Notamacropus eugenii: one gene and its partner. The protein of the gene in region 2 purifies or fractionates together with the protein of the main gene of each other region. This does not show direct contact. Links are inferred from orthologs where the notes say so. Each region holds a gene or a part of one and is shown on either strand. Other genes may lie near its edges. The genes, in order: OSTF1 and MYO1E.

Evidence for each region.
Region 1: the proteins of MYO1E (region 2) and OSTF1 purify together in Homo sapiens (co-immunoprecipitation; 3 studies listed by BioGRID and IntAct, counting the BioPlex papers as one, with this or other methods). This does not show direct contact. The link is inferred for Notamacropus eugenii from reciprocal best matches to the Homo sapiens genes MYO1E and OSTF1.

The regions. Positions count from the first base shown.
Region 1 is NC_092874.1:374,992,098-375,007,581, reverse strand, and holds the start of OSTF1 (osteoclast-stimulating factor 1), read right to left. Parts: upstream 7,324-15,484; 5' UTR 6,893-7,323; coding exon 6,859-6,892; intron 1-6,858.
Region 2 is NC_092872.1:136,918,164-136,933,616, reverse strand, and holds the start of MYO1E (unconventional myosin-Ie), read right to left. Parts: upstream 5,652-15,453; 5' UTR 5,211-5,651; coding exon 5,208-5,210; intron 4,164-5,207; exon of another isoform or gene 1-4,163. UniProt on the Homo sapiens protein: Actin-based motor molecule with ATPase activity. Unconventional myosins serve in intracellular movements. Their highly divergent tails bind to membranous compartments, which are then moved relative to actin filaments.

The DNA of each region.
Region 1 (15,484 bases), on a different chromosome or scaffold from region 2:
AATTCTATTTAGTGTCATGAAATCACTGGATCTCCCCAACCCTGGAGGCTGAACTCTAAACACACAGCTAATTCTTAATAGTCTCAAAAAAAATTTAAAAAGCCTTCGATGCAGGCTGCTGAAGTGCATGAAAACATCCAGTTCCACATAAACTGTTATAGATGGTGCATGATTTTCTCTCCATAGATTCTGTATCTACTTCTAGGTGTGTGTGTTGTTTCCTTGGCTAGCACATAAGTTGTTTGAGAGCACAGATTTTTTTGTTTTGTCTTGAATAATGCCCACTACATTCATGGGGTTTAATAAATGCTTGGAAAATTGCTTATTGATCAATTTCTCTAGCTCACTTTTCTATTTATGAATACAAAGGTCCTGACTATGAATGGAGCTAAGCACCACTGATGCTAACTAAACATAGCTACTCATAATATACTTACTTTCATATTTACAGTAACTGGGTCCATCATTATAGTGTCTCTCTCTTGGGGGGATAAAGAAAAAAAATCATTTAAAAGACACATGCACAGATTCTGAAAGTGATCAAACCATCCTTGAAATTGTTCACCTTGAAACAAATTACTAAGAATTAGTCAAATTGGAAGCTCTCAGATGGCAAAAGCTAGATTTCCTACTTTTGTATAGTGAGTTTCCAATAAGGTTGAGTGGAAATAAAATAGAGGCTTTTCAAAATTGCTTTTTAAAAAAATCATCAATCCACACTAAACATCCCTTGTTATATTATGCATACTACCATATTTACATTTTATCTATAACATGATATTTTGATCTAAAACAAAGAACTTTACCTATTTCAAACCCTCCCCCAAAGTATCTAATTAATTTCTCATTGACATTAATCCACCACCAATTTCTAATGAAATGTCACGTCTAAAGGCACAGAGGTAGACCCTGGGTTCTTATACGCTGGGCAAGGAGAGCTTAAGGTCTGGCTGGTGGGTCCTGCCCAAGATGGAAAGTTAAAGATAATGGATTTATCTGCCTTCAGATCAGCATAATGAAATTGGGAGAGGTTTGTCACCAGGAAGTTGGTAACCAAGTGATTAATGTTTTTTAGCCACAGAAACCATGGCATTCATGACAATGAATTTATTAACCAAGGCATGAAGGAGTTCCCATAGTAATGAATCTTGACTTGTGGTTAAATTAACCTAAAGAAAGAATCTGTAACTTACAGTTAATTCTTAACCCACTGATAAGTGTGTATGAGTACATATGTGTATGGATATGTGTGTGTGTGTGTGTACACACACTCGAGTGTATATAATTTTGTCTTCCTCTCATTCTACACACAAGAAAAGACTCCTGTCAATCCTGAGCAGGAAATGCCTGTTCCAGTTGGGGTACAAGACAAGTATTACCTGTAGTTCTACTAATCACATCTAAGTCAAATCATTAGATTGTAAAAGCTTCTTGAGGGGTCAGGGGCTGTTTTTGCCTTTCTTTGTAACCCTAATGCTTAACAAAGTTGAGCACACAGTAAGCACTTAATAAATGCCCAGGATTGAAAAAGAATAGAGGTTGTTGCTGCAATAGGAGGGACAGATTGTAGTGGCTAGGGTTACCATCAATTGAAACAGACAGGAAGTATCTCTTTGGCCACCTTTGCATACAACGAAGTTAGATCAGTTACCCAACCCCTCCCTTACCCAACGTTTTGTCCATCAGTTAAGAGCACTTTCCGAGGTTTCATCTTTCACAAATATTATACTATATGTTGTGCCTTTACAAAGGGTTGGAACAAAACTCAGTTTCCAAGAAATTTAATATCTAATGAATGAATCCATAAGAAAGAGAAATAAGGATACCAAAGAGCAAATAGAAAGTGACAGCCATGGAAAGTGAGTGGACAAAGATGGCTCATGCACCAGAGTAACTAAGGATTCTAAAATTTCTTTTAAGAGAACAATTACTGCTTTTTGATGTAAATAAGATACACACATTTTAGATTTAAGTTGCCCATGATTTGGATCTGACAGAAAATCTGATTCAGGGTATAGTTTTTTTGGTGTGTTTTTTTTCCTAATCTAACCTAAGATTTCACCAGGGGCCAAGAAATCTGTGGTATGGAAATTTGCTCAACCAAAGTAGATCCAACAGTCTGTAATTTATAACTTAAGAGAGTTGCCTAGAGAACTGTGAAATAAAATGACTTGTGCAAGGACATACAACTTGTATGTGTCAACCTATCCACTATTCATGCTTCTGCTACAAGAGATTAGTATACAGCTAAAATGACAACACCAAAAATAATAACTCCCAGGGGTAACTAATACATAGGATGATAGATCTAGAATTGGAAGGAACCTTAGAGGTGATCTATTCCAACAACTTTGTTTTACAAATGAGGAAATGAAGCTCAAAGTGACTTGCCCAAGGTCATACAGGCAGGAATGAACAAACAGAACCCAGAAACTCTACAGTTTCTACTCTTCAAATCCAGAGATCTTTCCAATGTAGCATCACTGACTCTATTGTAGCTGACTTTTTTCCACCAAAAATGTAATTTAAGCAGAATTCTTTAGTTTTCATGATCTAATCATGAATGCTAGAATGATTTTTAAAACACAATTTTAGTTTTTTTCTGATTTAATTTCAATTTAATTTTCTGTATGACACATCTTTAGTACTAAATAATAACCAAGAACATGGAATACTTATGATGCTTTGCTTTCATCCATAAAGTCAATATGCCATTAGGAAAAAAAACAGTGCAGGTCGGTGACCAGCCAGGCTTGTGGCTGACAACTAAAAATTTTACAAATTTTATCTCTGTTCAACTTGATTAAATGGGAAATTTCTTACAAAATTCAGCTCCTGATATAATTTCTTCTATTACTTCTAACTCCCATTCTTTACACTAAATATTGAGATGAAGTTTGTAAAAAGAGTCTTCTTGGATAGCAAACCTTTGTCTGCTATGCTCTGACATGCTAAACAAATTCACTTATTCTTATCCAGCCTTCAGAATACAAAAGGACCTAAAAATAGTAAAACTGGTGGTATAGAAGTATTTTTACAGAGTATTTTTACATAAATGGGGAGGAGGGGACAGGGAAGACACAGACTTCTGGTTTGGGTCTGGGATATATTCAATTTAACAAGCACAGATTGAAGGCCTACCACAAAAAAAGGCACTATGCAGGGGGGCTGTGCTAAGGAATGGATGTGGTGGTGACAAATATAAGTATTACCTCACTCTTGGCTCTGCAGGATTTTAAAAGTTAGAAGGGAAGATGAGAAATGAACACAAACAACTCTAAGTCAGAATGTGATAAAGGCAGAAACAATGCACAAGGCTAGGGATGGGAACTGAGGCTGTGATTTTATTGACTGAGGTAATTCTCTAGACCAGAAGTAGGGAGGTATGGTCTCTGCAAGTTATAGTCTTAGAAAGTTGCAAGAGGCATAAAAAGATTAAGTGACTTGCTCAGGGTCACAAGTGTATAAATGAGAGACTAGACTTAACTCAGACTTAACCTAGCTACAAAGCTGGTTCTTCTCCACAGAAGAGTAGGAAGGAAGAAAGGAAGGGAGGAAGGGGTAGAGATGGGGGACAAGAGGGAATAAGCATTTTTCATTGTTTTTCAGTGATGTCTGACTCTCCATGACCCCATTTGGGGTTTTCTTGGCAAAAATAGTGGTTTGCCATTTCCTTCGCCAAATCACTTTACAGATGAGGAAACTGAGGCAAACAGGGTGAAGTGACTCACCCAGGATCACATAGCTAGTAAGTGTCTGAGGCCAGATTTGGACTCAGGAATATAAGTCTTCCTAACTCCAGGCCCTGCACTACTCTACCCAGGCCACTGCACCACTTAGAACATTTATAAATGGCTTACAGATACTAAGCTAAACACCAGTCATACAAAAAAAAGTAAAAAGAAATATAGTCCCTGCCCCCAAGGAGCTTACAGTCTACTTGACATTTGAGCAAGGTCTTGAAGAATAAAATTTCAGAAAGCAAAGAGACTGGGGGGGGAGGAGAATTCATGATCTGAGAATTCAAGGTAGAGAGATACGAAAGCAAGAGCAAAGGCAGAAGTATTATAAAACAAGAGATGCAGAGAAAAGCAGGGGGGAAGTGTTGTACCGTAGAGTTAGGGAAAAAACATAAAGGGCCTCAAAGCTAAGCTCCAAAGTTTGAGACATATATCTTTAGGGGTGAGGAACCTGCAGTCTCAAGGCCACATGTGGCCCTTACATCCTCAAGTGTGATCCTTTGACTGAATCCAAACTTCACAGAACAAACCCCCTTGATAAAAGGATTCCTCCTGCAAAACTTGGCGTCAGTCAAAAACGTAGCACCCAAGGTGCATGAACTGTCTAACTGTAAAAGTGTATGAAGGAGTTACTTGATACTTTTAAACAGGGGTATAACAAAATGATCCGAGTTGTGCTTTAAGACACTAACTTTAGTAAGTGTGAAAGAGGGATTAGAGAGCACAGCAAACGAGGCAGACCATTTAGGAGTCTATTGCAATAGTCCAGTAGCACTGGGAACAGAAAGCAAGACAATGAAATAGTGATCCATGTTAGTGGGGCTTAATGGTAGTAGACAAATAGTGTCCATGTGAATGAGTACAATGACTCAAGTTTAAGAACTAGAGATTCCTAATCTTTCATAGAAAAAGAGGCTAAGTGACTGATAGATCCTGTACCATGATAATAATCCATTAAGCAAATTTGAAAAAAAAAATGCAACAGCCTTTTTTTTTCTGACTCATAGAGAAGGAACAGACATCATCACAGACATTACTTAAACTGTCTCTAGATCCAGAAGACCATTTGATCGATTTCCAGGACTTTTTTTTTTTTTAAATAATTGAGTGCCAAAGAATAAGACATTATTTTCATTTGATAAGTTGCTTTCTCCTGGCAAATAAAAATCAAATATCCAATGGCAAAATTTGATCTCTTGTCTAAAACACTTTCAAGTCCCACTGTTTCACTCTTAAGAGATAATGTGGGATAATTGAAAAGATGGGGGAACTGGGAGTCATGACACCATATATATGACCCCGAGCAAGTCACCAAACCGATTCAACCAGAGTTAATTCATCCATAAAATGGGTATAATTATAATAGTACTTGTTCTACCCTAGCTTACAGGATTGTCATGAGCAAATGCTTTGAAAGCATTTTCAGAAAACAGAAAACTTGAAATCAAAACATAAAAATGTTATTATTCACACCCAGTCTTTGGTCAAAATAATAAAGTCTACGATCACTCTTCTTTTGGTATGGCTTTCCTATCAAGAACTACTTCACAGTTTTAGGAATTCATCAGTGTCATCACCCCTCTGATGCCTCAGTCCCCCCACTGCCTATGTGGATGCTGCTTGGGAGTTGCCATGCCCAAAAAAATATCATTATCTGGTGCTGAGCCTGTGTCTGAAGTAGGCTGATCCTGGGACAACAACCTGACTCAGAATCCGTTGCCAAAATCACATGCAAAGCATTTCCAACATGGTAGACCATAATAGGACATATACATAGCCTGCAAGGCCTCCATACACCAGGAAGCACAGGGTTAAGATTTAGTAGGGTCTATGCAAATTTAAATCTCAAGAAACTTGCAAAAAAAAAAAAAAGCAACCAATAATTTTGAGAAGAGAGCAGCCTGGCTTAGCAGCTTAGCAGGGGAAGGGGCTCCAAGACAATGGTTCATTTGTCACAGACATACTGTGTGACCCTGGGCAAATCATTCAACCTCTCAGTGACAGAGACTAAAAATTTCAGAGAAACTGCCAATACACTGGTCAACGGAATCTCCTTACTGGGAGTACTGGCATTCACCAATAACATCACAAGGGTAGTAATTTTTTTTTTTCAAATAAAAGGGATTTACGGTACTCTTATTTCCCATTTTTTTAAAGGAGGAAAATTATACTATGTTTGAAAACACTATAAATTTAGGGAAAAAATACAATAACGAAGGATGTACAGAATAAAACCAAATCCTTGACATTCCTGAACAACAATAGAAAACATGTATTCTGAACTTTGAAGATGCTTTTATTAAAGTTCAGCAAATCCCCCGATTTCGGAATTCCGACTTACTCCATCATTCATCAGTATCCTACTGAAACACACTGGATTCAGAAATCAGCTGTCCCTTTCCTTCCTCTCTCCCAAGCGCACAGAACCCTTCGGTAGAGAGGATAAAAGTTTACTAATGAATAAGGACTATCTGCCAGGGTGCTTTCGGAGGCTTCTCTCCACTCGGGAGGGCAGGCTCCGCTTCCCCCTCGCCCCCGCCGCCCATATTCACCCCGAAGCCTTGATGGCGTATGTATAAAAGTGACAGCTTGGAGCCGCAATGGCCAGGGCTGCCGGAATCCTTCCGGCCCTGAAGCATTAGGCCGCTGGAGCTGACTACAGGCTTTCCAAAAATGAAGCCGAGATCAATGGAGTGCATTTGCTCTTCCTTCCGGAGACGTCCCGCAGGACTTCATATACTTACCTCACCTCACCCCACCCACCCATGCACTTCCCACTTTTGGGTCCGTCTTGACTCTTGACAAGGATACAACTCCCCCCCCCCCCCCCAAAAAAAGGGAAGTATCTTTAAAAGTCGTTTGGAGAATTTTTTTAAAGGTATAATCAAGCGATTGACTTTATGTTACAGACATCCCCCCAGGAACGCTGCAGAGCTGCCAGTGCGTGCGCTCACCCCCAGATCTCAAAACTCTTGTCATCAAAAACAATCCTGTCATTTCTTGAACTTAAAAGTCATCGATCACCCTCCAAACTGGTTCGCTCTGTAAAGAGAAGAGGGCTCGGCGGCAGCGCAGGGAAGCAGGGCAGCCTGGCACCCGGGTGGAGCCCCTCCCTTACCTGGCTTGACGGGCTTAGGGGGCGGCTTGGACATCTCTCCAGCCGGGGCGGCGAATCCGAAAGGCCGGGGAGGGAGAAGACCAAGTACAAGTCTGAGTCCGGCTCCTCGGCCGCTCTCTCCTGCCCAGCCCACCCCTCCTCGAAGGGGAAGAAGACTGGAAGGGGGGCTTCCTCCAAGCGGTGCTCAGCGTCCCGAGCGCTCGCTCAACGAGGAAGTGAAGGCTACCTCAGCAAACGCTAATTGGCTCGCGGGCCCCGAGTGCTCCAGCGGCTGCAGCGGCTCATGCACGCAGCAGGGATGCGGAAGCGGCGGCGGCGGCAGAGGCGGCGGAGGCAGCCCAGCCCCAAGCCGAGCCCAGGCGGGACGGAACGGGCCCGGGAGGGAGCGCGCGGGCGAGCGCGGGCACGGGCGGCGCGCCCCACCTCTGAGCGGGCGCGGAACCCGAGCTGGGGCCCCGCCCCCAGGCCGGAGCCGGAGCGGAGGGTCAGCCGACGGGACTGGACTGCGCGCTGCCTGCGGCCTGCGTGCCTCGCGGCCGCCCCGGGAAAGTGCCGGAGCCCCCCGGCTTTGGTGTCGAGGGTCTGAGCTGATCACCCGCGCTGACGGTCTGCCCTGAAAGCTGCTCGTACGCTCTGGGGGACCGGTGGCGAAGTGGTGCCCGCCCGGGACTACCTGCCAGGTGAGTACCTGATCGGTGCGGCGCTGCGCCTGCGGGGTCTTCACCCAGGTGCTCGCTTGGCCACCGCGCCTCCCCCTTTTAGGGGTGCCTCAGGTCGCACTTTTTCGAGGAGAAGGTTGTTGTCACCATGAACATTCCACCAGGAGAGCTGCCGCCTGACGTGGGGAATAGAGGAGGCAGAAAGACCTGGGTTCGAGTCCTGTCTTTTACACCTCGTGGGCAAGTCTTTCAGCCTCTTGGTGACTAAGCAACTCTGCGAAGTGCAAATTACCTACAATGACCAGCCACTTCATTGGTGGAGGGAATTTCCACATGGCGTGGTTTCTTCCCAAACAAACGAGATCAAGGTTCTCTTCTTCTGTCACCACCACCCCCTCTGTAAAATAAATGATTACCTGGCCTTCTTATGTAAGACCTGATGGTAGGGGTGGGGGAAACTTCCTAATAATATAAGCTACCTAGGAGTTGGGCTGGTTCTGTTGCTAATAAGCTTATAAGCTCCTCGCTGGACCCCTTCCAGCAACTGGTTTTATATTATATATATATATATATAGTGTGTTTCTGTTGTGGAGAGGTTTACTTTTCAACTATGAGTTGGACTAGATTGCTTCTGTGACTTTTAAACGTCTAAGGCTCATAAATTTAGAACTGAAAGTAACTTAGAGGCAATTTGGTCCAGCCTTTTGATTTTGAGTAGGAGGAAACTGACTTGCCCAAGGTCACTTAAGTAATGAGCATCAGAGGTACAATTTTCCCCCAAGTCCTCTGACTCCAGAGTCAGTCTCCTTTCCATTATATTATTATTACCTCCCAAAATGTAGACTATCGGTAACTACTAACTGGTATGCTTTCTTTCCTGTCTCTACAAAATTTTCATGAATATAATCTTCAGATGAACTGGAAACATCCTTGTTGAAGGTATGAGGAGGTTACAGGCTTTTCCAAATTCTACAGCAAACTGCATCTGTACAGTCACATTTGACTGAATATACCATGGAAAATAAAAGATCCCAATGTGCTTGTTATTTGACAAATAGAGGGGAGAAAAAAGCAAAATTTCACTTTGAAAACTGCTCCAGTGAAGCTCTTGTATACATAAATACAGTTTGTACAAAATTCCTTGAAACACCTAACAACAGAAGCACTAAATCAGATTAATATCAAGCAGGTCAGAAAAGAGGCAGACATTCTCACCCAAGGTATTTGCCAGTATCATGTAGTACAGTGTCCCAATGAAAAAAGCCGTGCCCTACAGATGAAGAAGTCTTCTCAAAGTCACCCATTTGCAGGTAACATTCTGCTGAGTGCATCAAGCCTTGCAGCATTTTGCAGTGCTCCTCCCCCACCCCAACAAGATCCATAATCCCTTCTGAAGCTTGGGTTTACAGTTAAAAAAAGTGGATGAAGCACACCTGTTGTTCGGTAGAAGTCATCTAGTTAGATGGCCAGTCCATATTGCTGATCCATCATTGTTACATTGTTGTTCCATTGTTGTTGTCTGCTTCATTCTTGAAGAGGACCATGACATTAGGAAGGTGATGCCGTAACTTGCAAGTGAATAGGGTTTAAGTGAGTGAGGGCTGTGCAAGATCACCAGCCTCACTTTCTCTTCCAAAGCCATCTGGATCCAGTGGCAAGATACAGATACAAGATACAGGAGAACTGGAGATCCCACCTCCCTCATCGTTACATTGTGTGTGTTAGTCTTTCGTTGCCAAAGAAGACCATGCCTTCAGAGAGATGATGACATGACTTGCACTTGACTTTGTTTTGAGTGAGGGAAGGCTATGCAGGTCATCAACCTCACTTCTCCTCCAGAGCCATCTGAAACCAGTGACCAGATATTCAGCAGGATGACTGGAGATGACCCAGGATGAGGCAATTGGGGTTAAGTGACTTGCCCATGGTCACACAACTACTGAGTGTCAAGTGTATGAGGTAAGACTTAGGTCCTCCTGACTCCTGCACTGGTGCTCTTTCCACTGCACCCCTAGCTGCCCCTCATCATTACATATACCTTGGCCAAAAACTGGGATTTGTTAATGAGCCAGGCCTAGAACTGAGTAGAGGGAAGGAAATATGGTAGATTACCTTTGGAAAAATTGTGTAGTGCCTTTGATGACCCTGAACTTCTCTCAGAAAAAAAAAAGCCTGTTATTTTTACTCCAATATTATTTTTTATTAAATTAACAAATAATCATCCAATATGAATATTAATACAGTTGTACTTTGCATGAATTGAAAATATATTAAAGATATCCTGTGACACCCATGCAAACAGAGGACGGGGAATGACCAAACAGGCAAAAAATGGGGGGAGGGAGAGTGGACCTGTGGCAAGTAGAGGGCTGAGGTTAAATTTTACCGCAAATTGAGTATGAGTGAGCAGTGGCCTGCTGTTGTGAAAAATGCCAACTAGAATCATGCTTTCACTATATGCTGAGTTTAGAACAACCTTATAAACTTTTTATAAATATACTTCAAATGGGATGTGGAGAAACTGAAGCAGGACATAATAATAGTAACAAGGATAATTAGAATGGCAAATAGGTCTTAACAGTACAGTTTAAAACAATTGGTATTGTTTTAGTCTAGAGAAGGGCAAAGCTAAGATGTGGCTGTGATAGAAGCATGGGGTTTTGCTTTGTTTTTTCAACATAGGAAGGCTAAGCAGGTATTTTCCACATCTTTGGAAGACAAAACAAGTGGAAATTGACTTACAGGAAAATGACGAAGATTGTGATTAGACATAGGGAAGAAACAAATTGATTATTACAGTAATAAAACCGTGGAATCACTCATGAGAGGTTGAACTCTCTTTGATATACTGAAGAATGAAGCATGAAAAGGTATTTTTTCAGTGCCATCTATTTTTAAGATATTGTGCTAGGGGATGTGAAAAATATAAAGAATATGAGATACTCACCACAACTTATTTTCTAAACCTTTTCCAACCTCCCAAGGTTCCATCATCCCCCACTCTTTCAGCTGAAAGCCTTCACTTATCTTTCACCGAAAAATTTTTCTAAAAAATATTTGCTGAAAGCTCACTTTTTTTCTCTTCATGCCATATCACCTCGATGCTTTCTGCCACTATCTCTTCCTTCACTCCTGTCTCATATGAAGAGGTGTCCCTTCCGCTTGGCAAGGCTAATTTTAGGTGTGCAAGTGATCCCATTTCATCCCATCTTCTGTAGCAGATTGCTTCCTCTATCATACCAATTGCCTCATTTGTCTTCATTCTCTGCCTGTTTACTGCCTGCTTATATACATGTTCATATTACCCTATTATCAAAAAACTGTCACTAGATCCATCCATCCCCACTATCATCCCTTGTCTCTCCTTCCTTTTTTTAACATTTTAATTGTATTTCTTTTTAAATTCTGAGTTCCAAATTTTCTCCTGCTCATATCCTCCCACATCCACTAAGAAGGTAAGTAATATCATATCAATTATACATGTGAAGTCATGTAAAACATATTTCTATGTTAGCCCTATTTTTTTTAAAAAAAAAAAAGCAAGAAAAATAAGCGGAGAAAGTTATACTTCAATTTGTACTCATAGTTCATTGGTTGTCTCTCTAGAAGCGGATGGCATTTTTTCATCATAAGTCCTTTGGAATTATCTTTTAACATTGTATTGGTCAGAGTACCAAGTCTTTCACAGCTGATCATCATTACTACATTGGTGTTATTGTGCCCAGTGATCTCCAACTTCATCCCACTTCACTTTTCATCTGTTCATATAGTTCTTCCCATGTCTTTCTGAAATCATCTTCCTCATCATTTCTTATAGCATAATTATATTATCGTAGTCATATGACACGACTTGTTCAGCAATTCCCCAATTGATGGGCATCCCCTCCATTTCCAATTCTTTACTACCACCAAAGGAACTACCATAAATATTTTTGTACATATAGTTCCTTTTCCTTTTTTTCTTCTCGTTGGAATACAGGCCCAGGAGTGGTATTATTGGGTCAAAGAAAATGGACAATTTTATAGCCATTTGGACATAGTTCCAAATTGTTGTCCAGAATGGTTGGACCACCTTATTATTCCACCAGCACTTCCATTAGCGTACCTATTTTTCCCTCATCTCCTCCAGCATTTGTAATTTCTGATAGATGTGAGCTAATACCCCAATATTTTTCTGATGGTACAATGTGACTACAAGTCATGGAATACCACATATAGTCTCTGAAAATTCAAACTGCAGGTCACCCAGAAGGCTATGAGGAGGCCCATGCTGAGTGTAAATAGATCGCAAGGTACCTCCATTGCTGCCATCAGAGATATACGTGACTGAAAAAGAAGGTATACATGGTGAGGACAGTAACTAACTACTGCGCCATTGGTATCTGTGCAGCATCAAGAGACCAAGAGGAAGGCCTTTGATATGTCTCCTTGTGGAGAATTTTTGGGAGGACATGGATAAGAGTCATCCAGGATGAGAAGCTGTGTAGGGGCTGGGATCTACTTCAATGAAGGGAGCACCCACAGTGAAAAGATCCATCCAGTCATCAATCCATCAAAATATCGAAGCAAGTCTTATAACTTTGTTAAAAAGAAATGAAATAAGGTTATTTTGACAGTCAACATTTACTTAGTGCTTACTATGTGCTCAGCATTATACTAAGCACCTGGGATACAAAGAAATACAAAAACTGGCCCTGTCTTCAAGAAGACAATAGTTTCCATGTAAAAATAACTACTTGCATACCAAGTTGAAAGAAGGTAATCTCAGAGTAGAAGGCACTAGCAGCTGGGAACACTGGAAAATGCTTCAGGCATAAGATGGCATTTGAACTAGGTCTTGAAGGAAGCCAGGAGAACTAAGAGGTAGAAGTGAGGAAAGAGGACATTCTAGATGGTGGGGCAACAGATGCAAAGGCATTGTTGGGAGATGGAGTGTTGGTGAGTGAAACAGTGATTAGGCCAGTGTAACCTTATAAAATAACGTCACAGCTAGGTGGTACGGTGGATAGAATGCTGGGCCTGGGAATCAGGAAGATTCATCTTCCTGAGTTCAAATCTGGTCTCAGACATTTCCTAGCTATGTGACCCTGGGCAAGTCACTTAACCCTGTTTACCTCAGTTTCCTCGTGTGTAAAATGAGCTGAAGAAGAAAATGGCAAACTGCTTCAGTAATTCTGCCAAGAAAATGCCAAATGGGGTCAAGAAGAATCAGACACAACTAGAAACAACAGCTGGATATAAAGTCTGTAAAGGGGAGAAAAATATAAGAAGTTTGGAAAGAGAGAAAACCCATACCACCTTGAAGTCATCACCACTTCCTTATCCTAATAGTATATGAAGCTAAATCCTCAAAGAGGATTTAAAGGTTTTCATTGCCTGGCCACATCCTGCATTATTTCACAACTCCTCTCCATGCACTCTGAGGTCCAGCCGTACTGAATTTCTTGCTGCATTTCACAGACAGCAGTACATCTCTCATTTCCATTTCTTGTCATTGACTGTCCTCTGTCCCCAGAATGTTCTCCATCTCCACCTCCACGTCTTGGAATCCCTAATTTACTTTAGGACCCAGCTCAAGTACCACCTTGCTCAGGATGTCTTTGCTGGTCACAACTGCTAGTGCCTAAGGTTACCTAGTGTCTGTGTGTGTGTGTGTGTGTGTGTGTGTGTGTGTGTGTGTGTGTGTGTGTGTGTATGTACACAATATGGAGAAATTAACTAACCAGCTAGGAAATAATGACAATGCCAAAATTCAAACCCCGGTCCTTTCACTCCAAATCCAAGGGTCTTTCCACTACACAAGAGCTTCCTCCTGTGTTCACAATTTAATATTTAATTATTTAACATTTAATATTTTTTTCTCAAATTTTGCTGGGACTCATCACTAAGGACATTAGCTGGTGGTATCCTGTCTATAGTTTGTAGTTAATTCTTTGCTTCTTGTGTCATTCATTACACTGGGATCTCCTTGAGAATAGGGACTATTTTTCACCCTTTTTTGTATTTCCACTACTTAGCAAGGTGCCTGGTACGTAGTAGCTGCTTAATTAACATTGACTGACTTTTACCCATTCCTAAAAGTGGGACATTGGCCTTTTTCCAATACCATAATACCGGTCTGTAATTGTGTGATGATAGATAGATTAAGGGAGATATTTGGACAGTAAAAAACCATCCCTGCTCCCCTCAAATCAGAGCACATTATCTACCTATGAGGTATGGGTCTAGACACTACTATACATATAGACTGAATATACAAGAAAAATACAACTAACAAAAATCAGTACAAGAATATATTGGCAGTTACTAGATTCTGTTCTCTGACTCCTCCAAGATCACCATCAGTTCTTCTGCCTCTCAGCTGTATACAAGGTATGTCAACACTCACAGGTGCTAAAATTTAGTACAGCTAATTTTGAATTCATTTGGGGCAGTTAGATGCCTTCAGGACATAGTAAGAGAATAGCTCATTTAACTTTTTTTTGTTCTTTCTACCGAAATATTATTTAATACATGTAAATACATATCTATTTCACTCTTGCTCTCTCAAAAGGATCTCTCCTCCATCCTGATTCTACCTGGCTCTTAACACTAAGCAATGCCTTCAAGAAGTGTTTGGGGATATTCCTAATTAGAAATCCATTTTCATCAAAAGTATTTAAGAACCTTATGATACACCAATTAGCCAGATTAAGTCTTTGCTTCCCAGGAAGAGAGAACAGTGAATGGTTTATTTCCCCAGTGTCTTCACTGGGTATCTTCAAGGAGTGTTAAAATTTTTTCAGAACTAAATTTAGTTCACTTTAGAGTCTTGTAGAGTCTTGTGTGAGTATTTATGAATGTATCCATGGGTGCATATGATTATTTGTTCTTGTATATACATGAATAAATTAATAAACATATAATTATGTATAATGGGCACATATCATAGAACAACTCTTTGAGGAGTCCCTGAAAATAGGATTTAAGACTCAGAACTTCAGATAGGCTGGCATAAAGATTTCTGAATGTTTCAAAATACTAAAGAAAAACTAGCTTCTTAATATTCCATCGGATTTCATATCTCTAATTGAAACTCTGTTTCCAGACTGACAGTCTAAGAAGCCTTTTCTTAAACTTTCGCAATAAACCTTAGGTGGAAATTGCGATGTAGGTGAAATTCGTCTTTAGCCCCTCTCTCCTTTTTGTCTTCTTTGAGGACTTCTCCCTGCCTGGTGATCTCGCAGCTGCTCCTTCTGTCAGAGCCTCTTGAAAATGAATTATACCACTAAAATGTGAATGTACTCACCATCATTCCTTCAAAGGAAATCTGAACTTAAAAAAAAAACTGTAGAAAGAGATGGTAACATTTAACCTAAAGAAATGTCTGTGTGACTATAGGCAGTGGTATACAGACCATCCCTGCTCCCCTCAAATCAGTATATATCTCTATCACTGTATATCTATGAGGCAAGGGTTTGGCCAGTACTATACGTATATGCAGAATTTATATAGAATGTAATACAGAATAAACAAGCAAATTACAAATAATAAAAATTTTATATATGTATATATACACTTGCAGTTACTAGCTGACTCCAATTCAATAAGTATCTATGAAATACCTCCTTACAGTGCAAAGCCTTGCCAGTATACCAGGCTACAACAATAAAACAAAGTATCTCCTGTCTCCAAGGGATACAACCCAGATGAGCAAAAACAAAATAACTTGAAAAATGAGAAGGCACTTCCACCTATGGGGTAGCAGAAAAGGCTTTCCTTTGGAGGTGGCCCCCAAATTAACACGTAAGTGAAGCTAAGGTTTTGGAAGAGGTGGAGCTGAGGAGGGAACATATTCCAGGCCCTGCGGACAGCTTATACAGAGACACTAAGTCTGGAGATGGAGTTCATGGGGTACATAAAATGGGACAGTGCAACACATCTAAAACACAACTCATTATCTCCTTCAAAACCCTTCTGAATTTCCC
Region 2 (15,453 bases):
TGTTGAAAACTAAAAATTAATTATTTAAAAAAAGGAAACCTGGTTTCTAGTGCTGACTCTCTGCCACCAACTGTGACCTTGGCTGAGTCATTTCCCCATGTTGGGCTTTGTTTTTTTTTTTTCCAACTGTAAATTGAGTTGACTGTATTAGGTGATCTCCAAGATAGCTTCCAGTTCTAGCATTCTATAAATGTGTGTTCATCCTTTGTTGCCGAAGAAGACCATGCTATCAGAGAAATGATATGACTTGACTTTGTTTTGAGTGAGGGAGGGCTGTGCAGGTCACCAACCTCACTTCCCCTCCAGAGCCATCTGGATCCAGGGACCAGATATTCATCAGGATGACTGGAGATGGCCCAGGATGAGGCAATTGGGGTTAAGTGACTTGCCCAAGGTCACACAGCTAGTGAGTGTCAAGTGTCTGAGGTAAGATTTGAACTCAGGCCCTCCTGACTCCTGCACTGGTGCTCTATCCACTGCACCACCTAGCTGCCCCAGCATTTTATAAATATATTATTAGAAAGTCACCTAACAGACAGATAAAATCACTATCAGGCATATAATAATGAAATATTCTAGTAGCTTTATTCTTCATCACAGGATATTTTTAAAGATAATAGCTCAAAATCAAAGCCATTTCCACCTAGTGGCTAAGTTCCTTGTACAGTTTCCTCCACATCCTGTTTCGCCCATAGTCTTAGATTTCTACTCCACTTTGATTTGATCACTGCCTCGGAGGTGTGTTATTTAAATATTACAGCCTGTAACAAAACTTCAGGTCAATTACAAAAAGCTGTCACCCATGCCAACCCCAAGAAGACTCCACCAAGGGAAGTGCTTCCCTGATCCTATGTTTGAAAGCCTTATAAGGTCTCATGCAAACCTATTCTGATTTTTCTGTCTCCCCTCACTAACGCACGGCTGAGATCAGAAGGGGAACTAGGTACTTCCCTATATATGTCTCTTTAGGGTTCTGTCTTTTTCTTTTAAGCATTTTATAGTATATGTTTATGGACATGGGTAGAAATTAAAATTTTCTTTCTTCATTGGATGTTATGAACTCTCTCTGCTTTCTTCACTCTAGTTAATGATGGATTCTATCCCGCTTTTCCTACTACAGTCCCTCTGTACTTCTACCCATAATTAATGGGTTCCTAATCTATAATTGGCCAAACTACTTATTCTTTCCCTTCCTTAAAACCCTGTCAAAGTTTCAACTGTATCTCATTCAAGAATTCTTTCTAAAATGAGTAGAAGGCTATGTGGATTTCCAGTTGGCTTACCATCAATCAACAAAACCCACAACCTGTACCACTGGCTGAGAGATAAATAAAAAATCTCCAGAAAAGAAGGATTTATATCTCTCTATTTAGAATAGACAGTCCTCAACTTACGAATGCTTCATTTGGGTATTATCAGCACAGCAGTATGTGTTAAATAGGTTCTTAGATCACCTCACAAAAACCTATCTACCATTTAGAACACTGGAAACTATATTCTGAGTTACAAACAACTAATTTACAAAAGGCTTTTTGGAACAAAAATTGGAGTCTTGCCTGTAAATCACAAGGTAGCATTGGTTATCTTTTACATGTTCTGTAAGATTTTTTAGCATACTATAGGAATGCTCTGGTTATAGAAATTCAGCCAAAAGATCTGGACCCCAAAGATTTAAATGTATTTAATTTACTGAAGCCCTGAGAACAAAGAGAAATATCAGATTGTGCCATTTCTGGGAACCCAAAGGATGGTATACCTATGTCCATAGGCACTGGTAATTGGTTAAGGTCAAAGAAATGTTAGTATTGTTGGTGGCAACGGTAAAAAACAACAGAACAACATCAAACCAAAAACCAATTCTGGAATAGCTAATATTTATAATGCATAATTTTCATTTGAATTTCATGACAACAATGAGATGGGGGGTGTAGGTATAATTCCCTCCCCTCCATTTTACACATGAGAAAACTGAAACTCAGAAAAGTCAAATGACTCACCCACAGTCACACAGGCTTTCCAATTCTGGGTCTGATATACCCTACCATCCACTATACCACATAGTCTCTCCAAGGAAATTTACACATAGTAGAAAGAATCCTGGATTTAAATGGCCACTAGGTAAAGCCAAATGAGATTTTTAAACTCTTCTAGAGAATTTATGCTCTTATGGAATTACAGATATCTTTAGTTCTACATTCTAATTTACCCACATAAAGATAAAGGTTTTTGTCATCAAATACTCATATGTCAAATTTTGAAAAGCCAGAAAATCAAGAAGGAGACAACAAAAATTAAGTCTTTTATTCTCATGAGTCTGAAAATGGCCATCTTCCCTATGAGTCAGGGATGAATCAGTCTTGGTCAGGATTTCAGCACAGGTGGGGTTTCTTTCTGATTAATTGTAAGACTAAGGTCTAACTATATTTCCTGAAAGATGTAACTTAAAAAAAAAATTGGCCCCCTCCGGTGTTATCCCTAGATCCTGGCAGAAGTTATACCAATTACAGTCTACATCCTAACTTTCAACCACTTCCACTGAATTCTTCTTCCCTTCCTGCCCTAAATTACAGTGGGGTGCAGCTGTGCATGGCTGAACAAAGGTGCATTTTGAGGTTTTAGCATCAGATGACATAATCCATGTACAGTGCCCAAGTTGGCATGGGATCCAATGTAAACAAAACATCATATTTTTTATTAGAACAAAGTCTCACAACCTTTAATAACAAATGTCCACAGCTTGACATTTTATAAAAATGAGCACACTCACTTCTTCATGGCAATAGAAAAAAAATCCATTTTATTTTTGCAAATTAGTCTAGATTATTGTTGATTTAGTGATGGCCCATCTCCTATTTCAGGGCAGCCAGCTGTTTCAACTTTTCTGACAGGGAACCTTGGCCTCAACAACCATATCTGATACACAGATAGTCTTTTGGCTGCCCACAGACATGCCCATCTGTGTCCATGGCAAAATGCCCACTAATAGGTAAGTCATACTCCTACCTGCTGCTGCTATGTGCTTGCTAAACAATGAAAGACTTAAAACGAATAGTTTACACAATTTCAGAAACATCATTTTTAAACATCATTTTTTCTTCTGTAATATCCTTCCTTTGCAAGTGTTTATGGATCCTCCCAACCTATCCAACAATGTATATTGGTTTTGCAGGCACTCAGAATATGCTACAAAGAGATATCTCTTAGAACATTAAATAAGCATCCAACATTTTGGATTTTCCCTCAAGATTTTGTTCCACTATTGAAACGTTATGAGAATATTTGTTTTGTCACAATCTTATTGCCCAAGTTTTTAGACTGAACTGTAGAAACCAATTTCAGAAATTCCTCAATACCAGGACTATCATTTATCCTAATTCCACTTCTAACCAGGAAGCACAAATCCCAAACACATCCTCCACTTATATAAGCTAGTTTCCAAAGTAAATTAGGGTTAGCTAACTTCTTGAACCCTGACAGTTGAAAGGAAAATTGATGTGTGTTTTATGTTTTTTTCTGTAGGGACAAATATGATGCTACGTTTCACTATCTATTGGTAATGGGTTCTGGAGTGTTCCCTTCAGACCAGAGAGGTTCTCCCAAAGACAAAAATCAATCTTTGTAAACACAATTTCCAAGACAGCAGGAGATAAAAAGCAAGTATAGGCCCTGATGGGCCATCTTTTCACTTGCCTGCCCTTTGTTAGAATATATACATTTTAACTAATATTCTACTCTACCAGGTATCATTTTTAACCTCTCCCCATTTCTCCAATCGTTAAGATCACACAGAAGTATCAACTCTCTCTCTCTCATCCAACCTTCCCAAGCTTATTTTCAGTAAGGCAAATACCCAAATTACAAAGTCTTTAGTACAAATTCTCCAGTCTTCCAATCTTTTCGCAAGTCTTTTCTGTAGCTTTTCCAATTTTTAAATTTTTTTATCCCCCCCTCCCCTAAATATTCCACGCTCTTCTTTTGGTGGTGCTGGGACTTTTAAGGAAGGGAAAAGACCCAAGAGAAGTCTGACTAAGGCGCGGTGGTGTGCTATCTTTATGGGTGGGGAGAGGAGAGTGGGCTACTTCCACAGACTCGGAAAAGGACTCGCAAATTTGCGCAGGAGGGCAGTGCCTTCAGAACTTTCGCGGTCATCTCTGCACACTGAGGCACGGCCACCTGGCAGTGGTGGGGAAGCGGGCGGCGAGGCGGTCCTTTGGGACATACTAACAGCTATTTTTGTGCTTCCGAGTACAGATCTGGCCAGTCTCAGTTCCCCTAAGCCCACAGGATTTCTGAGTCTGCCAGACTGTCACTTTCGCTCGGCGCAACCAGCCCAGTCCGGCCCGGCCCATCCATCAGCCGATCTCTTCAGGTATCTTTACCTGGACCTTCCCTTCCTTCTCCTCCCTTCGTGGCTGTGGCTACGGCGGTGGCGGTGGCGCTGTCCCCGCTCCCTCTCTCCCTCCCTTCTTCTCTTTTCTCCAGGACAGGCCGACCAAAAACACTCTCCAGACTGGTATTCCCACACCACCTTGCAAGTGCCAGCCGGGACCGCGAAGCCCTACTTGATCCCGATCGTACAAGAATCAGGGCTCCGTATGAGAGAGCAGTCTCCGGGAAGACGCAGCCCCGCTCCCCGGCGGCCGGCGCTAAGGACCCCGGCTAGGGGTCCGGAAGGGTGGGCTGAGGTGAGGCGGCTCCGTCGCCTTAGGCAGAGGTGGCCCGAGAGGAAAGAGCGCAGCTGCACAGTGCGGGCTCTCCCCACCCGCGAGCAGGAAGAAAGGGGACTCACGCACCGAGAGAGGGGCCGTGCCCGCGGGACCCCCCGGAAAATACATGTGGCTTGTTCTCCTTCGCTCAACTCAACGGCAGCGGCCAGATGCCGACGGCCAGGCTCACACTCAAACACACAAAGCAGCACAACACAACACACAGACAAGTTTGGAGACCGAGAAGTTACTTAAGGCACTTTTTGCTTCCTCTTCGTGCCGGAAACCTGTTGAAAAAGGTGGAAGGAAGGAGTAGGGACCCCTACCTCTTCTCTCCCAACCTTTCCCAGGACTGATGGATAAGCGGCCGAGGTGGGTTTTCTAGGACCGGCGAGTAAGTGGCCCGGCAAGGTGGGCTTGCCTTCCGGACAGCTTGCCCCAGCTCCCGGGTCCCCTGCTCACCCCGGCGCCGCCGGCAGCTCCAAGCCCCGGCCAACTCACCATGGTGATTTCGGTGGCCGTCGCTCCTCCACCTCGATCCGATTGCAGGGGGAGCGGAGGGTCTGAAATGTAATTTCCTTCTCGAACTTCAAAAGTTGGCTCCTTTCGGCCGAAAAAAAAGAAGAATCCTCCCCAAACCTCAGATACTCAAAGAAACCAATGGGAGCAGTGGGGAGACTCCATCCAAGCAGGATCGGCAGGGCAGGTTGGGGGGGGGGGGGGGGGCGTCTCCCTTAGCAGACCCTGTTCATCCTGTGTAGAGATGAACAGCTCGGTGAGAAGTCAAGAAATCTACTAGAGCTTCCTCCGGCCGCCGGACTAGAAGTGCTGGCTAAGTGCTGGCTAGGGGCAGTCCCGGCAGGGGCGCTCCACCGCCAGCCTGGCTCCTCCTCTTCTTTACTCTCCCACTATGTACTCCCCAGGCTAAGCCTCTGCTGAGGCCCGGCAATCTGTCCTTAAATGGAGAATTCAGTTCGGCCCTGACGAATCAGGGTTTATTTTCATAGCGTCATTCCTCAGGGAAACTCCAGCAGCCAACAAGCATGGAGCAGCTAGGCCTTCCAAAGGTTTCTGGATCCTGTAGTCCTCCGGCCCTTCCTTTCTCCTCCCCTTCAGCTTCAAAAGAACTTTGTTGACCTAATCTCCTAGTTTAAAGACTTGGTACTTTTAGAAGAGAAAAAGAGCTCAACAAAAAATAATAAAATAAAGGAAAAACTTCAAACTTCTTTCAGCATGAAAGGGTGAGCTGTGTATCTCCCAGGTTAGAGAAGCAGTCTTGTCCAGAACAATGAAAAAGAAGAAAAATATTTTATCAGCAAAGAAGATCAGAGTCATGGCAGAAGCCCAGAGGAAATCCGTTTTCTTTCTCAGGTCTAGGATTATAAGGGAAATCAAAATGGTGCTCATCACCTTTCCCCTCCCCCCCCAGCCTTTATTGAAAATCTGATTGTCATAAAGTACTAGTGATGGATTATTTAGAAAGGTAGGTGGTGCAGTGGATAGAGCTCCAGGGATGGAGTCAGGAAGACTTCTTCCTGAGGTCAAATCTGGCCTCAAACACTTATTAGTGGTGTGACCCTGGGCAAGTCACTTAACTGTTTGCCTTGGTTTCCTCATCTGCAAAATGAGCTGGAGAAGGAAGTGAGAACACTCCAGTATCTTTGTCAGGAAAATTGCAAATGAGGACACAAAGAGTGAGATATGACTGAACAACCACAATTCCTTATTACCCAGATTGAATCCTACTTTACCCAATCTTATCTTCCCTGTGAAAGATAAAATCTCTAGTGTATCTCTGAATCTTAGCTCATTTGGAGCTACAGTCTCACTTTCTAAAGCTGGAAATAATCTCACAAACGGTAATATACAGTGTCTCCCCCCTGAAATGACTTTGCATCTATTTTGGCTTTAGTTGTTAGGTATATGCGTATGTGTCTGTGTATGTATGTGTACATCCTCTTGCCCCCATGGAGTGTACCTTCCTTGAGGGAAGAAGCTATTTCATTTTTGTTTTTGTATCTTCACCTGGCACATGGGTGTTTAATTAGTGCTTTTTGGAGGGGACACCATGGCTGAGGTTGGGGCTGGCATCTCTAAACAAGTTGAATGCCCTGAGTATTCATTTGCTTCAATCAACTGTTATAATACAGAGAGGCAGATTTTTGATTCATTGTAAGGAAAAACTTAGCATCTAGATCTGGACAGCTCTTGGACAAAAGTGGAATCCTGTCTTTACTACTTACTAGCTATATGGAGAGGGAGGGAAGATTATATATCTAGAGCTGGAAGAGGCTTCAGTCCAACCCTCTCATTTTATAGATAAACTGAGGCTCAGGAAGATTCATGACTTTCCCAGTCACAAAGATAATAATGCCAGAGGAAGGTTTTAAAGCTAGATGCTTTGATTCTAAAGCCAGTGCTCTTTCCACTGGGTAAGTCACTTTACTACTTTGGCCTCAGTTTCCTCCTCTGTAAATTGAGGGTGTTGGACCTGGTCATCTTGCCACTTTAAATTTTATGAACTGCTTTGAGAGGTAATAGAAAAAAGTATTCAAACAGAAACTGAATAACCATTTACCAAGAATGTTGCAGAGAGGATTCCTGCTTAAGTACAAGTTGAATTAGATGCTCTCTGACATCTCTTCCTACTTGAGTTTCAGTGATTCTGATTCTTCATATGTGAAGGAAGCAGCATTAATTCCAGTTTCAGGGTCCTTGTCATACAGGAGGACAGACTTGTACTTTTACCCAAGGCTAAGGCTATAATCCATCTTGGATACTTGGATATTAGTACTGTCAAGTCCACAAGCACCTACTATGTGCCAGATACTGTACTAAACTTTGGGATACAATGCAAGACAAAAACAATCCTTGTTTTTAAGGAGCTCATAATCTAATGGGGGAGATGACATGTAAACAGCCATGTACAAATGATATATTATTTATGGATGAATTGGAGATAATCGACAAATGATTGGATAGGTGAATGGGTAGGAAAGGTTTTGTAGAAGGTAGGATTTTAGTTGTTAAAGGAAGCCAGGAAGTTGAGACAAGAAAGGAGAAAATTCCAGGTAAGGAGGTCAAAGTCACTGAATCATAACATATGTGAAGGGGAGTGAGGTGAAAGAAGATGAAAAATGTAGGAAGGAGCCAAGTTATAACCAAGTTTCAAGCCAAACAAATGATTTTATGTTTGATCCCGGTAATAATGGGGAGACAATGGAGTTGATTGAATAGGAGAGTGACATGTATAGACCTGAACTTGGGAAGATCTCTTTTGAATGGAAAAAGATGGACTGGACAGGGGAGAGACTTGAGACTGGCATATCTACTGGCTAAATGTGAGGTGATGAGGATCTTCAACAGGGTAGTGGAGAGATGTTTCAAAGGTAGTCAACAGGACTTGGCAACAGATTGATGTATTTTTCCAATAATGTTATGTGGTTGTGAGTCAGGGAATACCATGGTCTCCACAGGATTAAAGTTAAGGGTTATAATCATATAATTTCAGTGTTGGAACGGGCCTTTGTGTCAATCTAATTCAATCTATGTTTGAAAAAGATTCCCCTCTAAAATAGAGCCAAGCAGTCAAATGAAATAACATACATGGAATGCTTCACAAAGCTTAAAGTGCTCTAAAAATGTAAGCTGCTGTTATTATTTTTTAATAAATGGTCATCCAGCTTTAGCTTGAAGACCTCCAAAATGAGAACCTTCTTCTTCCCAATGCCACATACCAATTTCAAATTGTACTCTGGGTCATCCAAAGGACAATGGAGAGGAACATGGTGACCATAATTAGACTGCAATACATTGTTATTACTGTCATTTCAGTCATGCCAACTCTTCATGACCCTATTAGGGGTTTTTTGAGAAGATACTGGAGTGGTTTGGCGTTTCCTTCTCTAGCTCATTTTACAGATGAGGAAACTGAGGCAAACAGGGTTAAGCAACTTGCTCAAGGTCATACAGCTAGTAAGTGCAGTCAGATTTGAACTCAGGAGGAAGAAACTTCCTAACTCCAGACCTAGCACTCTATCTACAGCGCCACCTAGCTGCCCCTGACATATATTACTAACAAAGAGTTGACATAGGATAAACCACATAAAGGATATGTAAGAAAGGAATACGATGAGGAAACAAATCAGGCCCATCATATAGTGAGAATGAGAATTTATGGGTTCCCTCATGTGTTGCACAGGTGTCCACAAAATAGCATGTCATAAAGCAGCATGGGAAATACAGAGAAGCATATGATATGGTCCCCATCTTGAGGATGCTACAGTCTAATTGAGGAGACAGGATGTATAGGAATAAGATATTTAACAAAAGCTAAATATATCTAATATGTCAAGCTGCATTTGTCAATTAAATGCTATAAGAGTTGAGAGGAGGAAGCACTCATTTTTTTCCTTGAGTGAAGGGAAGTCAGAGGAAAAGTAGAATTTGATTTATAACTTCAGGGATCAAGCTGAATTTGGATAGGATGAGAAGATAGCAACCAACATGGAGAAGAGGCAGTGGAGTAAAAATGGGAACAAAAAACGTGGAGCAAAAAAAGCATAAAAGATGTTCTGGGGACAGTGACATTTTAGTTTATCTGGAGTAAAGGCTTTTTATGAACAACGAAGAAATTTGTTTTGTTTGACCAAGCATGCTTATTATAATGGTTTTCTTTTTCTTTTTTTCCAACAGGAAAAGGAGATAAGAGAAGAGAAAATAGATTATTGTAATTTTTTTTTTAGAGTGTAAGGTTTGTGTACAAGTGTGATGAATATTAATATTGGATATGTAGATTGAATCAGTATTGTCAGGTTAAAGAGACTGGGCTCTCATTAAAGGATGATAAGAAACAATTGAAGGTATTTGTATAGATAAATGACATGATCAAAATAGTATTTGGAGGATGCCTTATTTGAAATGGGAGGACCTAGATTTAAATCATGTTTCTACTATTTACTGTCTGTATGACCTTTGGCAAGTCACTTAGCCTCTTAGGATCTTAGTTTCCAAATCTATGAAAGAAGGGGATTGGACTCTTAAGTTCATTTCCAGTTCCAAATCTTGGTCTTTTGTTACCAAGGTTACTCTGGTTATGATGGGCAGGATAGGTGGAATGAAGGAGGAGAATGTAAATCAATTCTAAAGACTTACAGTATTTCAGGCATGAAATGATGAGGACCAAAATTAGGCTGGTACAAGTGAATGTAAAACAAAATTGATCAAAGACATGTTTGGGAGAAATACTACCAAGACTTGGTAATGTGAGGTTTTTAATCTATCCTGCTTCTGACTCTACTACCTCCCAGTAATGGTAATTACAATTAACAAAAGCAGGAAGTCAGGAGAGGAAAATGACTTTGGAGAAAATGTGAGGAATTCTGTTTTGGCCTTGATGAGTTTGATGTAATGTTAGGATATCTGTGCAAAAATATCCAGTAAATTGTTGGAAATACAGAACTGGAGTTCAGCAGGGAAGTCAGGACTAGAAATATAGGTTTGGAAGTGATCTGTAGAGTTAAAGCAATGGAGAGAAATGATATCTTCAATGGTCAGAGTGCAGAGAGAGAAAAACAGAAAGCTGAGGTCTGAATTTGGGTAATGCTCACTTTTAGGAGAGAAATGGAAGAAGTGGAGCCAGCACAAAAGAAAGAGAATAGTTAGGGTCGTAGGAAGAAAACCAGAAGAGGATACCGCCCCAAAAGCCAAGGCAAGAGAGAGAGTGAGAAAAGGGAATTGCAGTTAGTCATTATATTGATCAGAATTCCTAAGACTTAACAGTATTGTTGTTATTGTGTCAGTTGTTCTGGTCTGCTCACTTCGCTTTGTATCAGTTCATTTGTCTCCCCAGATTTCCCTGAAACCATCCCTTTTCTCATTTCTTACAACACAATAATATTCCATTACATTCATGTAGCATAACTTGGTCAGCCATTTCATAATCGATGGGTATTCCTTCAGTTTCCAATTCTTTGCCATCACAGTAAAAACCTCTAGAAATATTTTTCTACAAATGTGTTTTCTTTTTCTTTCTTTCCTTCTTTTTCCTTCCTTCTTTCTTTCTTTCCTTCCTTTTTTCCTTTCTTTCGCTTTCCTCCCTCCTTCTTTCCTTCTTCCTTCTTTCCTTCTTTTTTCCTTCCTTTCTTCCTTTTCCTTCCTTCTCTTTCTTTCCTTCCTTCTTTCTTTCTTTCTTTCATCTCTTCTTCAGGGTCATATTTAGTCATTATAATTACAATACATTCACTTTTGATCTTCTTGTTGTTATTCTTTGCTTTTGTTGTCGTAGTCTTTGTGTACGTTTTTTCCCCTGCTTCTGCTTAGTTCACTTTGTATCAGTTCATTTACTTCTTACCTTACCTTCCTGAATTCTTCATATTATTTATATGAACTGATCTACCATATTCCATACCATAGTTTTGTGTGTGTGTGTGTGTGTGTGTGTGTGTGTGTGTGTGTGTGTTTTTTTGGGGGGGGGGGAGTATTCTCCAAGTAATAGGAATCTATCTTGTTTCTACTTCTTTGCTACTGCAAAAAATGCTGCAATAAATATTCTGGTGTGCATGGCCCCTTGTCTTTTTAACTCTTTCCTCCTTGGGGGAATAGTCCTAAGAGTAGGATCTCTAGGTCAAAAGGTCACTTTCTTAGCACAATCCAAATTACTTTCCAGAATGATTGGATCAATTCAAAGCTCCACCAACAATACTTGTGCTTCTAGGTACTTGTGCAATACTTGGAAATTTAGATTTTCACAGACTTATCAATACTGACTATTCCCAATTTTTATCATCTATAGTAATTTGCTGGAAATAAGATGAAACCTCAAATTTGCTTTGATTTATTTTTCATTATATATAATAGTGATTTGGAGCAATCTTTCAAAATTTTAAAAGTTCAGGTATTTAAGTGATTCAAGTTTATTTATGTAGCAAATTCAGTTATATAGAATATTTCATTTCACAATGACACTGCTTAAATGAAACATTTATACTTTTAGTGATCCTCTATTTTAGTTTTTATTTACTTTGAGAAAATGATACGCTTATATTCCACATAAACACTAGGTTGAAACTGGGATAAAACAAGAAAGAGAAAAAGAAAACTGGAAGGAGAAACAAAAATAACTTTGTCAAACTATAGATCACCTGGACAGAAGGAGGAAATAGATGGGGACTTTGGGAAAGAGGTTACAGTCCCATCACAGAGGCATGATATTGTCCAGACGTTTGCTAGAACTCTTACTCTACCCAAAGCAAAGGAGATAATTATTTCTTAACTTGTATTAGTGATAAATTCATTCTTCAAAAGACTGAGGAGCAAACAAGAAGAAATTCTATTCTGGATCTGATTTGCACTAATGGGGAAGAAGTGGTTGTTGGGTGAAAATGATAAGAACTTTGAAGGATGTGACCACTAGATAACCCCTGGATCCACCAGAGTCCACTCTAGTCATCATCACACTGACTCACCTTGTGCTCTTAACTGATAAAAGTTCAATGTCCAGGTACCATAATGCACTCCTATAATCTTCATGATTTGCTACTACATGTAAACCATGTTGCCTACCCTTTTTACCCCTGGTTGCGACCTCTGTTGGATTAGCATGTAGTAAACATTTAATAAATGGTTTTTCATTCGTCCATTGCTAACACACTGGATGGCAGAATCCTGATTGAAAACGATTTTAAACTAGGGCATCTGAATCTAAGAAAATTAAATCCAATAGGGATAAACATAAAGTGTTTCTCTTGGGCATAAAGAAATCATCTTCACAAGTGCAAGATAGTCTTGGGGTTGATTAGGAAGCAACGATTTTGTAAAAGATCTGGGGCTTTTAGCAGACTGCAAGCTTAGTGTGCATCGGTGGTATGATGTGGAAGTCAAAAAATGTAGAGCAATATCGTGTAGCATTATGAGAGGCAATGCTTCCAGGAAGGCAATAATTCAACAAACTCTGTCCTTCTCAAACCTCATCTGGAATATTGTGGTCAGCTCTGAATACCACAATTTGAGAAAAACATTGATAAGCTAGAGAGTGCCCATGTCATATGGTTGGTTGACTGTTGATCTTCATTCTCAAAGAGGACCAAAAAACCTCACTAAGTTAGAGTCAAGTTACAGTGTGTCCAATTGTGGTCGATCAGACCAACAAGAGCTCAGAATGCTCTACAAATAGTTAAGTTAAGCACAAATAGTGCATGAGAACGTTTGGAGTGGATTCTCTGAATCTGTGCAGAGCACAGTGCTTTCTTTGACCTGGTTATGCTATACTGGGCAGTCCTTTGCCAGAATCTCCCATGTTATGGAATTAATCCCAACGTTCCTCAGAGATGCCTTGAAAGTGTCCTTGCATCACTTCTTCTGACCACCATGTGAGTGCCTTCCTTATGTGAGTTCTCCATAAAATAGTCTTTTAGGCAAGTGTATGTTTGACATTTAAACAACATAATCAGACCATAGTAGTTGCGCTCTCCACAGTAGAGATTGAATGCTTGGCAGTTTAGTTTGAGAAGGGACCCCAGTGTCTGATTTCTAATCCAGACATGTGATCTTCAGAATCTTCCTGAGAAAATTCAAATGGAAACAATTCAGTTTCCTGGCATGGGTCTGATATTATACTGTCCAAGTTTAACAGGCATATAACAATGAGGTCTGCACAATGGCTCAGTAGACCTTTGATTTGGTGGTCAGTCTAGAACCTCTTTTCCCAAACACTGAGCTTGCTCTGGCAATGAATGCACCAACCTCATTATCAATGTGTACATCCCTGGAAAAAATACTGCTAAGGTAAGTCATGTCATACAATGATCATTTGAAGGTACTATTTAAGCTAAGGAAGAGGACACTCAAGGGAGACATGGAAACCATCTACAAGTATTTATTTTGCCCCAGGAGGGCAAAGTCAGGAGCAATGGGTGGAATTTACAAAGAGGCAAATGTAGATTTGATTCAAGGAAGAAACACCTGTGTTTATCAGATATATCAACATTCTACTGTCTATTTCCCTACTAGTGACAATTTGAATTTCCAGTGGCTCCCTATTACTCCCAATTAAAGTTTCTTACCATGATATCTAAAGCCTTTCACAATTTAACTTTTACCTCCCTTTCTAGATATTTCATATGACTTTTCCCCATGTAGATTACAATTCATCTAAATTGACTCTTAACATTCTTTCAACTACCCATGTAACTATGGGCAGCTCATGTAACTTCTTTGTGCCTCAGTTTCTTCATCTTTAAAATAAACACATCTGTTTTTCATTCATATTGTGAACCTACCTTAGAAAAACTGGGCAGGGTTGTGGGGAGCAGGAAGGGAGAAATAGTGCAGAGTGTTCCAAAAGTCTTAGTTCAGTTTTAAACTATTAAAGTTTAACCAATACTTAAACTTTAACTATTTAAAAATATTAAAGCTTTAATAACTAAAAATTATACTGTGACTTTTAGAATACTCTGCTACATGAGTAATATGGAAATATATTTTACAGGATTACACATATATAACATATCAAATTGTTTACTGTTTTAGGAAGAGGGGAGGGAAGAGAAGGAGAAAAATTTGGACATAATAATCTTGTAAAAATGAATGTTAAAAATTGTCTTTACATATATTTGAAAAAAATGCTATTTAAAAAAGAATACTCTGTGCTGTCATAATCACCTCTGATGCTTTCTATGAAACAGTACAGATTCAACAAAGAAAATTCATTAGACCAATTGTGTTGCATTTTCCCTGTCAATAATGCCTCATTAAAGGTAAAAATTTGGCTAATTATTCCTAATATCACATTCTTTAATTTTGCTTTAACATATGATCTCTTAAATTGTTAATTTGATCTAGCCACTCTGGAAAACAATTTGGAACTATTCTCCCAAAGCTATTAAACTGTGTATACCCTTTGACCCAGCAAAACCTTTCCTAGGTCTATAGAAAAACAATGTACACAATGAGTAGAACCCCACAAAAACAAAGAATGATAACTTAACATAATGCAATTATAATGCAGACCCTGAAGAAGAGATATTAGAACATACTTTCCTCTTTTCTTTATAGGTAGGGGAGTTAGAGGGTGGGGCTATGGATGTGGTACACTGAATACACAAATCTTACTTGATTGATGTGTTAATTAGTTTTGCTGAACTGCTTTTTTCTCTTATTCTTTGTTAAAAGGGATAGTTCTCTGGGTAAGGCAGAGGGAAGGGCATACAGACTGAGAAATGAAGGTGATATAGAAACAAAAGGTATTAGAAAAATTAATTTTTTAAAAAAACATCTTTGTGAGGATGCCAAATCTATGTGTGGGCAGGGGGATTTGCCTCCCCCCCATAGCTGAGACAATCAAAGGAGATAATCACAGAAGATTAGGTGTCTACATGTTAACGAGGTGTTAAAACTGTCTCCTCTCTTTGTAAAGTACAAGCATACCAAATAAGTAACAGCAACACCATCTGTCAGGCTGAAAATTAGTTATGACCCTGGAGACAAGACAATGCTGGGAGCTCCTTGTAGGGTGGGAGGAAGGAGGAGATTTCTTTCTCTCTCCTCTTTATCTCCTGCTAGGTACTTTGCAGCAGAACTACTCCCTCAGAAACACCATGGAACGGCTGGAGTCAGTTAAAGAGTTTAAGGCATAGTTGAGAGAAATACACACGTGAGCACACACACACACACACACGATTACATATACATATATTGTTGAACTGTTTACATTCCTACATGGGAAGATATTTGTAACTCATATACATAC